Rattus norvegicus: one gene and its partners. The main gene of each other region encodes a partner of the protein of the gene in region 3 in a complex. Links are inferred from orthologs where the notes say so. Each region holds a gene or a part of one and is shown on either strand. Other genes may lie near its edges. The genes, in order: Drc12, Fbxl13 and Tcte1.

Region 1 (3,750 bases), on a different chromosome or scaffold from region 3:
CCAGCATGGACTAGTGGACCTCGAAGGCTCTCCTCTAGACGTCTACAGTCTGTTGGCTGAATTTTAACTCGAGTCACCGTCGCCCTAACTCTCCTCTGAACAAAAAGTTCAGTGCCACAAATCTCCCTGTTAGGGCTGGAGTTGGCCTCTCTGATAGTTGGCTCAGCAGTTAACAGTTAACAGCACTTGTTCTTAAAAAGAACCAGAAACCAATTCCCAGCACCCACTTGGTGGTTCACAACCATCCCATAACTGTAGCCTGAGGGAATCTAAGGTCCTCTTCTGACCTCCACAGACACCCACATGATGCACATACATGCACTCAAGTGAAGCACTCATACACACAAAATAACAAAATAAATAAATTTATTAAAGAAAAGGAAAGTTTTATAAAAGCCTCTAAGACAGAGGTAAAGAGAAGGTAAGTGTCACCACATTTCTCCCTTTGCTTAATCTCCCCAATTCCAGCAGTTAACCCCTTCACTGCTTTGTCTGTCCTAAGCAAAATATATTCCTTTTTAGTTTAGCCAACTTTTACAGCCAAACTACAGAAAATGTTAGACTTAATTTACTTCAGTATCCTCAAAGCCAAACACCTGGTAGAAAGCCTTAAATGTCTACTTGTTAAATCAACAAATTAAATCAATCAGAGAAGAAAACAGAGGTCAGAAGATGGCATCAGATCCCATGGAGCTACCAATGGTTCTGAGCCACCATGTGGGTGGTGTAAACCAAACCCAGGTCCTCAGCAAGAGCAGCAGCCGCCAGTGCTCTGAACTGCTGAGCCATTGCTCCAGGCCCCTCCTGAGTCTTCTCTTATTCCTCAAAAGCCCAAAGTGGCCTTGAACTCAGTAATCCTCCAGCCTCAGTCTTCTGAGTTGTAGGTTTTAGGCATGAGTCATCAGATTCCTATTTCAAAGTTTTCTTATCCTAAAATATCTTTGGTTTGGATATAAATATTCATGAGCTGCTTTATAAAGGCCAGGGACACCATCTCTAACTTTGACCCTCTTTTGAATTAAGTCAACATTTATTGAGCACCTTTTGTATACAGTGCTTTGTCATCCATTTTCACATTTAAGGTCACAGCAAACACAAGGAGCATATGTTATTTTCCCTCTAAAGATAAAGGAGCTGGAGAAAGGGTTCAATGGTTAAGAACGTTGCTGCTCTTCCTAAGGGCCTAGCTTTGATCCCAGCACCCACATGGTGACTGGAAAACATTATAATTCCAGTTTCAGGGGATCTGGTCTAATACCCTCTTCTGGTCTGGACTGCACAGGCAAATGCGCGCGCGCGCACACACACACACACACACACACACACACACACACACACAGAGACTGAGAGGCAGAGACAGAGACAGACAGAGAGGAAGATGTTTTAAAAACAGATATAAGGGGCTGGAGAGATGGCTCAGCGGTTAAGAGCACCCGACTGCTCTTCCAGAGGTCCTGAGTTCAATTCCCAGCAACCACATGGTGGCTCACAACCATCTGTAAAGAGATCTGATGCCCTCTTCTGGTGTATCTGAAGACAGCTACAGTGTACTTATATATAATAAATGAATAAATCTTATATTTAAAAAAAAAACAGATATAAAATTAAAAATAAATACATCTATAAAGATAAACTAAACACTGAACCATGCTAGGTGGTACAAGTCTGTGACACCAACCCTGAGAGGGAGAAGCAAAACAATATGGATCTCAAGGTTTTCCTTGGCTACATGGAGATTTTAAGGCCAGCCTGGGTCAAACATTTAAGACAGGGTGATTCAGAGAGCCTCGTCCCACACTAAGTAAAAAGCAGCAGACTTTGGCCCATCTGCTGTCTCAAGCCCTCCATGTACCCTGCCACCCCTCAGGGAGTCTATAGAGACCTCAGGAAAGCAATGACCCTGGAAGTCTCTAGTGGCCTCTGTGAAGCTGCCTCTTAGGCGCCTTCAGTTGCTGTTCTTGGTTTACAGTGTCACTGTCCTGTCTTCTCTTTCTCCCTGCCCGCTGCCTAGAAACATGCCAAAGGGAGGCCAAGACCGCAAGGGAAGAGGCTGAGCGAGCCCTCCGAGAGCAAGATGGAACCCTGACTGAGCTTCGCGCCCATGTGGCACACATGGAGGCCAAATATGAGGAGATCTTGCATGTAAGCACCACTACCTGTCAGCCGTCTCCTAATTCTCATAACCCTCCATCCCTTTGCCCCCAATTGATGTGATAACCCATGACCTAAGGGGGCCGTGCTCTGTCCTAAGTGTAAAGAGAAGGCATAACCGTTGACAGAGCAGTGACTTGTAATCCCAGAACCTGGGCAGCTAACACAGGGAGATTTTGAGCTACAAAGGCCAAGAGGCACTATAATGTACTATGCACCTGCTACACTGTGAGATCGAGACTCAAAATAATCAGGGGATTACGTCGTTATATGGTGTCAGGACTATACACCAAAATAGAGATATAGGTCGATATCTAGCCTAGTATGCAAGGCCATGAGTTCAATTCCAGGCACAGAACTAGGACCAGGGATAGGAAGAGGAGTGAGGAGAAGGAGCAGGGAAGAAAAGGAGTGCCGCAGTCTTGTAATCCTGCTATTCAGGAGAATGAGGCAGACAAGTCATAGGTTCAAGGCCAACCAAGCAAGGTACAAAGTTCAAGGCCAGCATAGGCAGTGTAGTAAGAGACTGTATCTCAAAATACAAATTAAAAGAGCTCTGGATACACAGCCCTGGGACAGGATACTTGTCTAGCATGTGTGAGGCCTGAGTGTTGGGGAGTTGGGGACAGCAGGCAGCAGCCAGGCATGATGGTTCACGTTTGAAATCTAATACTTGGGAAGATGAGGCAGGAGGTTTCTGAGTTCGAAGCTAGCCTGGACTACAAAGCAAAGTTATCTTACAAAAAGGAAGGAAGGGAGGGAGGGAGGGAGGGAGGGAGGGAGGGAGGGAGGGAGGGAGGGAAGTGAAGCACTCTTACTAATCAAGCCAGGCAACCTGAGGTGATGCACTCCTTCCCTCCCTCCCTGAGAGCTGAAAGCTTGCTGTTCACAGGACAACCTGAACTGTCTCTTGGCCAAGCTGAGAGCTGTCAAGCCTCAGTGGGATGCAGCCACGCTGAGGCTCCACACCAGACACAAGGAGCAGCTACGGCGATTTGGTCTCAACCCCCTGGATCTTTGAGGCCACTGGCCTCAAATCTCTAAATATCAATATCAATAAAGCAACCTGATGTAGAAGTCAATAGAACTGTAGATTGTGGCCTCTGGCAGTGAGGACATCTATTTTCTAGGTTAACCCATTGTCCCATTGTCCTAACCCCTGAGTGATAAGAAATAGACAATGTTCTAAACCCTTTCCTACAGAAACTAGATCCCATTCCCTATAGCCTGGAGTACCTTCAGTCCCTTCAAACTGCCTTGGCTTAAGTGGGCACGGTAGTGCATGCCTTTAATCCCCACACTTGGGAGGCAGGGGGATCTCTGAGTTTGAGGCCAGCCTGGTCTACAAAGCAAGTTTCAGGACAGCCAGGGCTATACGGAGAAACCCTGTCTTGAAAAACCGAAACAAAACAAAACAAAACTATTTTGGATTATCCTGACCAATAAAACACAAATCCAGATATCCAGATGTGTGTGTGTGTGTGTGTGTGTGCGTGCGCGTATACATTTATTTATTTATTTATTTATTTATTTATTTATTTATTTATTTATTTATTTGAACAGTAGCATACTTGTACTAAAGTGCTCATATAGATGTCA
Region 2 (3,750 bases), on a different chromosome or scaffold from region 3:
AAACAAATACAAATGGGGGTTGGGGATTTTGCTCAGTGGTCGAACGCTTGCTAGGCAAGGCCCTGGGTTCGGACTCCAGCTCCGGGGGAAAAAAAAAAAAGACAAAAGAAACAAATACATTTCTCTGCCTTTGAGGAAAGCAGGTTTTGGTCGGCAGACCAAATAGTTTTCCCAACAGTTTTCACGACCTAAACGATCCTTTCAGAAGGTGTGTCTCCTGTAGGCTGAGGTTCTTTATTTCCAACACACACACCCATGTTGCAGGGATGCTACGGATGACTTAAAGGTACTAGCACCTAAGACAGGTGCTGGCAGAATTGCACCTCAGGGATCCTTTCTTCATAAAGCAGCGAGCAGAGTTTCAACCTGGACTTGAGGCCCCTAAGAACGTTCTCACACAGTAAGGGACACCTCTTTGGTAACAACACAAAGGCCCAAACTTTAAAATGAGAAGCAATCTATTTAGCTTGGAGAAACCTCAGCTCTCCGCTGTGAAGCCGGAGGGAAGTAATAGGGCACTTCGGGCGATGTTTTCAGTCCTTATTTTAAACAAAGAAGTGGGAGCAGGGAAGCGGCTCAGGACCCACCCAAGGCAACTTGGGCTTCCAGACTGTCTACCTCTAGCCTTCCTCCCCATGCAGTCGCGAGTGTCTAAGGCACCTCTGATCTAGCCTGTCCAGAGGTGGTTCCCGAACCTCGAACCAGTCCACATGCCGGGCAGCCCATCGCCTCACCTGCGGACCGCGAAGGGCGCAGTCGGCGCCCGCCTCGCCGCGGTCCCCGAGTCAGCCGGTAGATACAGTAGCAGGCGCCAGCGCCCAGGACTAGCCCGGCTGCCACCCAGCCCACGTCCCGCGCGCCGCCCATACTGCTGCCACCGAGCTGCAGGGAGCCGGGGTGCCAGGGCCACACGCAGGTGCAGCTGGGCCAGAACCAGCCCAGAGAAAGGAAATGGGGTTGGAGCTCCGCCTTCCGGAAGCCGCCCTGCTGAGGTCGGAAGCCCTCCCACTCTGCTCGTTGCCCTCCCTAGTGCTTGCATCTTTTTCCTGGATCAAGTGGGGGACCGCCCTGCTTGAGTCCCGCCCCCTAGCTCCGCCCCAATACTTTCCAGTCCAGCTATGCCCCGCCTCCCACTTTACTTCGCCCCGCGGGTCCTGTCCTGCCCCTGCCCCTCCCAGCGCTGCCCGCTCCTCCCCGTTCTGTCCGCCCCTCCCCATTCCCCCTGCCCTTCCCCCCCAGGTTCTTTCTTCATCTCCGGATTGGCTGAGACTGTTTGGCTCCTCCTTGGTTGCCAGGCAACGCACCGACGCGTCCCTCCGCTGCAGCGTGGAGCAGTAACCAACAAAACGCAGTAGTTTCTCAGTCCTGCTTCTGACTATGGCTTCACTACGCAACGCCCCCCCCAGGCTAAGGAACTACTTCAAGGACAACTACATTCCTCAAATCTGTGAGGTATTGGAGCTACATAGCCTCTCACACAGAGGGCAAGGGAAGAGACCGGGAGAGGCAAGGAGATTCCCAGAGCTGGAGATAGGAAATAGAGGATGGGGGAGTTGAAGTCTATTTGGGGTAGGTTAGAGAACACCGAAGGGTGACAGTGGCTAAAGCAGGGGCGGAGATGACAAAGGAAGGGGAGGGGGAGGGGGAAAGTGACAATCTCCAGGGGGAAAGAGCACAAGGCCTGGGTTGGAGACCTCAAGTGTCAAGTACTAAGTGCTATTAGGAAGAGAGACGAACAAGAAGTGAGTGGTGAGCCACTTGAAGACAAAAGACTGCAGGGGTTCTGGGTATAAGCATTTCCTCGCTCGTTGTTAGCAGGAGACACAACCTCACAATATACCTTTTTAGAGATCGCCACGCAGGCAACACCCGAGGTGTTGGTTTTAACAAAGACATGAGTTTCGGTGCCAACCTATATAAAGATAAGTTGGTTTCATTAAACTCAGAAACATGTGCTCCAGTAGATAGAGTAGAACACACCTGATCAAGACAATTGTGGACTTCTGAAGGGAGAGTCCAGCTTATGTCTTCACAATGCAGATATAGGTTTCTTTTTTCTTTTTCTTGTGGCTTTCAAGGTTACCTTTCTAAATGTTGCCAAGAAGCCACTACCTCTTTTCTTCTTCTTTTTCTTTTTCTTAAGTAATTCATTCACTTTACATCCCGAACAAAGCCCACCCCCCCTACTTTTCTCTCAGTCTTGTCCTTACAAATCCCTCCCCCAACACTCCCTCCCCTTATCAGAGGAGAACGGGAAGACTTCTCCTCTGATAACTTGGGACATCTAGTCCCAATAGGATTAATACTCCTTTTTTTAAAAAAAAAAAACTGATATCACCCAAGAGTATAGTTTGTAACAAGGTTAGATTAAAAATTGAAGTTTCTTTTTCATTCAGTAACTAAAGTTGTATAGTGGATTTATGAGCAACTTCATTTAGTCCTGAGAGTGGGTAGGCCAGGAATTCAAGGTTATGTGTTGTTTTGACTTATGTCAGCACACCCTAATTACTGGTCTTGTCATCCTTGATTGATTGAGGTGTCTGGGGATACAGCAACTAGCCCCAAGTGAGAGCAGTTTAGTTACTGTCCATTAGGTCCTTATTTAGCAGACTTAAGTCCTTTTTGGTCAGTGAAAGGCTTCCTCTCTACCCTGTGCTTCCAGTCACTATAATCCCCTTTCTGCCCTGCCTCAGGAGGACAGTATGGTATTGAAAACCAGGTTTTATACTCCCAGGAGCTGAGCAATCGCTGGTGACTCCCATTCGCCTGCACATTGGTGTATGTTGTGTGGTGATGCTGTCAGAGTTCTGAGCACATCGCTTCTCGGCCTTTTGGCTAAGATCAAGTGCAGAGTTCTGAGCACGTGCTGTGATGGGGAGAATGAAGGAGTTCTAGGGGAGGAGAGAAGTGTGCAATTCAATTTTCAGGGAAAGTGGGTACAGCTCTTAGTTTTAGGATGGTTTTGCGCCGTGATTTTTATCCAGAGGATTTTATCCAATCACCTCTGCTCACACATTAACAGCAGGTGCAAGACAGGCCTTGAGCGCACTCTCACTTTCCCTCAGAGCCCAGTAAGGTGGCTTCTGTTCTGCCAGGTCTCTCTGCATGTACATGTCTGATTCAAATCCCTGAGACCTTTGCTCTTGTAAAAGCCACCTGCAAACACGTGAAGCACATATTTTATCAAAGACAGCTATGCGTGTTTGACCTCTTCTGAACATAACCCGTGTGCTCTGAGTAAACCTAGTTGTTCCTCCACAACGCCGTTTCCCTACAGACTTGTGTACACTCTGATTAAGGAACACCCAAACCAAAGCCTGCATGCCAGTGGTAGGTGTAGTTTTCCTTGCCAGGGAGACTGAAGCTGAGACTTGCTTGAGCCCAGGCATAGGAATGGTAACACCCAAAAATAAAAATAAAAAAAAAAAAACAGAACCAAAAAACAAACAAAACAAAACCCCAGCACCAAACTAAAACAACAAACACTTGCCTGAATTACTAAGCTTATTGAATCTGCTGATTGATATTTAATTTTCATTAGTTTTGGAATTGCTTAAATCTATTATTTTTACCCAATTTTTTCTCCTGTAGAAGCCCAAGCATGACTATAATAAGATTTTACCTTGACCTCTGTTTTAGCTTTGTCCTGTTAATTCGCTTTTGTGTTCTGGGTGCTATTTTGGATATTTTCCATTGACTGATAATTTTCATAGATTGCTAAATTTGCTAATTTTGCTTTATGTTGCATCT
Region 3 (3,750 bases):
TCTTGAGTGCTGGGATTGAAGGTGTGCACCACCACTGCCCGGTTTATCTAGTTAAACTTTAATTGTGTGTGTGTGTGTGTGTGTGTGTGTGTGTGTGTGCACGCGCGCGCACGGGCGCGCATGTCCTGGGCTGGATAAAAAGGAGAAAGCTGAGAATCCCCATTCCATGCTCTCTGCTTGGCCAACGCCTCAAGCTCCTGCCGCCATGGCTCCCCCTCTGTGGTGAACCATGCCTTGAAAACTGTAACCAAATGACTGTCAGCTCCCTTCAGTTGGTTCTGCCAGGGATTTTAATCACAGCCAGGAGACAAGTTAAGCAGTACAGTAGACCTGCTGTGGAGTGCGTTTTAGCTTTTCCCAGTGGCAGGGGCCAGACCCATGGCTTTGCACATGCTACAGACACTCTTTGCCTCTGAACTGCACCCCAAGCCTGGGCGTTTTTCATTTGGATCCATCCTCAGTATCACTTAGACTGGGCGTAGTGGCGTCATCTGTGATGACAGCACTTGGTCGTGTTTGTGTATGTAAGGCAGAGGCAGGAGGTCAGAAATTCAAGGTCATTTTTAGCTGCAATCAAGTTCTGGGCCTGCCTAAGACATGTGAGACCCTTTCTCAACAGAGTTTCAAAAGAAAAAAAAAACGAACCCAAATATCTAAACAATTCCCTTCTCTACTGAATGAATGCAAGGAGATGGGAGAAGATGGTGGGAGGAGAGGAACAGGCAGGGAGAAGCAACCCCTGAGGCAATGAGAAAGGAGGAGGCAGGCGATTTGGGGGCGGGGGGGGGGGAGCGGGCTGCGGTACCTTGAGAGTGTGACAAGCTTTGATGGTGGCTGCTAGAGAGTGGCAGTCTCGGTAGGTGAAGAGAAAGAGGTTCCACTCAAAATTCATGCCGCAGTCTTTGACGCCATACACCAGGTCCAGCTCCTCCAGGTACTTGAGGCCACCCACCAGAGCCTGCAGCTGGTAGTGGTTCTTCTCAGGCTCGTTCCCTTCGCCCTCACTGCCAGAGTCCGACTGTTCCTCTCCCTGAGGCGGGGTCGGCATCCGCACAGGTGGGAGGAACTGGTCCACGTGGATGCGGCGCACGTAGTTCCTGCAGAGGGGCACCAGGTCCAGAATCACGTTGGGGTCCGTGGTCCCTGGGATGAAGAGCTTCAGCAGGTTCTCCAGGTGTCTTTCAAAGAACATACGCTTCCAGCTGTCGCCGTGCTTGGACACGTGGCACACGGACCAGCGCTTGATGCAGCAGCGGTGCCAATAATTCTCATCCTCAATCAAGTTAGCCGTCACCGACAAAGGCAGCTCAGGGGGCAGGCTGCTCAAGACCTTCTTTTGGTGCTCTGGGAGCAGCTGCTTCAGGATGGGGTTGTCTTTGGGAAGGGAGGAAGGAAAACAGGGTCAGCCACCATGCTGGGAACGTCACAACACAGTGCCCCGGGGCTGTCTTGGAAGATCCTTTGTGATCTTGGGAACTTTGCTTTGAGAGGAGAAACGGTTTCATAAAGAGACACTCTTTGAGGCGCTCTTGCCTGCAACTAACTGGCAATTGCATTGGGCAGTATCTGGTCTCAAGCGGACCCACCCAGAGAAGAACAGATAGAATCTCAGGGCCAGTTCTTAACGTATCATCCAGTCTGACTTCTGAGACGCCCAGTCAGACTTTACTCATTCATTTCAGAATTACTGTATGTATTTTAACACCTACTATGTGCCAGATGCTGCTGGGGAGAAAAAAGGAAGAAAACATGGGGCCAAAAAAGATGGATCAGGGTGTAAAAAAAATGCATGCTGAGCAAAATTGAATCCCACCCCAGAACTCATGCAGAGGTGGGAGGAGGGAGAGCTGACGTCATGAGTCTCTGTATGTGCACTGCATTCCATGGTGAGAGCTCTCCCCACCCCCAATACATCCTTAAAAATGAAGAAGTCAGACATGGCCCTGGCCTCCTGGAGTTCATCTAAGCTTGCTGGGGCACACATCGACATGCTATGTTAGATAGATGGCCCATTTCTCGGGAAGCCCTTGTCCCACAGAGTAGGAGAGGCCAGCTAGTTCTCTTTGGAAGGAGCTGGAGTGGAGGAAACCAGGAAGCCATTTGCATCCCAGAGGACTCTATCAGATGTGTGCGCAGGCGTCTGTTTGTGTGGGTGTGCATGCACGTGTGCATGTGTGCTTGTGTGTGTGCACATGTGTGCACGCGTCTGTGTTCAGTTTGTGTGCATGTGCATGTACGTGGTGTGTGTGTGCGTGCACGCATGTGCCTATGTGTGGGTGTGCTCGTGCGCGTGCACGTGTCTGTGTTTGGTTTGAGTGCGTGTGTATGCACGTGTGCATGCGTGTTTGTGTGTGTGCGCGCGTGCACGTGCACATGCGTGTGCGTGCGTACACATGGCAGGAGACACCACTCAGTTGGGTGGGAGTAGATTTGAGAATGCTTCCAGGCTTGGGTGTGGTGGTCCCCACCTCCTCCGGCCCAGATCACGTGGACTCACTCTGGAAGTTCTTGACAATGTGTTGAATGCAGAGCTCTGTAAGGAGAGGTACAATGGCCAGCGACCACTCCGGGTCCTCGGAGATGATCCTGCGCATGCGACGGACATTTGTGGTCTTGGTCTTCAGCTGACTTGGGGCAGGGCTGGTGCTAGTCTTCAAGGACACGGGTCCTGGACTGGTACTACCCAAAGTAGAGACCTGGCGCTGGATGTTGAAAGCGGATTGGCTGCGAGACGAAGGGTCGGACGCTGTTGTTGAGGTTTCCTGCATGTTGACTGCTGGCAGTGAGGCAAGGGTAGGAACCTTGGCAACCTGGCAACAGGAAGCTTCTTACTGCAGGCAGGATACAGGATTGGGGGCGGGGTCCTAGCTGGAGCAAGAGGAAGGAGACAGTGTTACCTGGGGGGAATTAAGTGGCACAGAGCGGTGCTTGAGGATCAGTCTCTGGAGTGGAGTAGAACCAGATGAGGATCTCGGAGACTGGCTGTGTGGCTTTGGGCAAGCGAGCAAACATCTCTGAATCCCAGATGTTGCCTGTGAAATGAGGGCAGTAACTACCAACAGGATTATTAGAGGAGTTGATAAAATAATGTATTCTAAGGGCCACCGTGTGTACAGGAGCAGCCCCAAAGTTTAGACCATAGCTGTTCAATAATTATTATCATGGCTACGTACCAGGTACTCATGTTGGATATTAACTCATTTGTCATTAAGAAAAAAAAAACACGCTTTGGAGGTAAGAGCCCATTTTCATCTTCTTTTTTTTCCTTTGAAGGAAAATGAAACACAGAACGGTCCCTGACTTGCCTGATGTTGCACAGCTGATACTGAACGGGTAGTCTTTAAAGATTGTGTGTGTGTGTGTGTGTGTGTGTGTGTGTGTGTGTGTGTGCGCACACGTGCACACAGAGGCCCTGTGCTGAAGTTACGGGCAGTTGTGGGTAGCCTGACATGGGTGCTGGGAACTGAATTCAGTCCCTCGGTGAGAACAGAACACTGAGTGCACATGACCTCTGAGCCATCTCTCCAGCCATCCATAAAGTGTGCATCTAAACTCAGTTTCTCGGGGCTGGAGAGATGGCTCAGTGGTTAGAGCACTGACTGCTCTTCCAGAGGTCCTGAGTTCAATTTCCACCAACCACATGGGGGCTCACAACCATCTGTAATGGGATCCGATGCCCTCTTCTGGTGTGTCTGAGAGCTGTAGTGTACTCATATAAATAAAATAAATAAGTAAAAAAAAAAAAAACAA

Evidence for each region.
Region 1: Tcte1 (region 3) and Drc12 share a complex: the UniProt entries of both Homo sapiens proteins name them as parts of the nexin-dynein regulatory complex. The link is inferred for Rattus norvegicus from reciprocal best matches to the Homo sapiens genes DRC5 and DRC12.
Region 2: Tcte1 (region 3) and Fbxl13 share a complex: the UniProt entries of both Homo sapiens proteins name them as parts of the nexin-dynein regulatory complex. The link is inferred for Rattus norvegicus from reciprocal best matches to the Homo sapiens genes DRC5 and FBXL13.

The regions. Positions count from the first base shown.
Region 1 is NC_086026.1:53,477,552-53,481,301, forward strand, and holds the end of Drc12 (coiled-coil domain-containing protein 153), read left to right. Parts: intron 1-2,011; coding exon 2,012-2,142; intron 2,143-3,020; coding exon of another isoform or gene 3,021-3,026; exon of another isoform or gene 3,027-3,043; coding exon 3,044-3,172; 3' UTR 3,173-3,613; downstream 3,614-3,750. UniProt on the Homo sapiens protein: Component of the nexin-dynein regulatory complex (N-DRC), a key regulator of ciliary/flagellar motility which maintains the alignment and integrity of the distal axoneme and regulates microtubule sliding in motile axonemes.
Region 2 is NC_086022.1:14,305,790-14,309,539, forward strand, and holds the start of Fbxl13 (dynein regulatory complex subunit 6), read left to right. Parts: upstream 1-1,341; 5' UTR 1,342-1,377; coding exon 1,378-1,452; intron 1,453-3,750. Other genes in the region: Armc10 (armadillo repeat-containing protein 10), read right to left, coding at 735-867. UniProt on the Homo sapiens protein: Substrate-recognition component of the SCF (SKP1-CUL1-F-box protein)-type E3 ubiquitin ligase complex.
Region 3 is NC_086027.1:22,967,555-22,971,304, forward strand, and holds the start of Tcte1 (dynein regulatory complex subunit 5), read right to left. Parts: upstream 2,838-3,750; 5' UTR 2,769-2,837; coding exon 2,498-2,768; intron 1,375-2,497; coding exon 806-1,374; intron 1-805. UniProt on the Homo sapiens protein: Component of the nexin-dynein regulatory complex (N-DRC) a key regulator of ciliary/flagellar motility which maintains the alignment and integrity of the distal axoneme and regulates microtubule sliding in motile axonemes.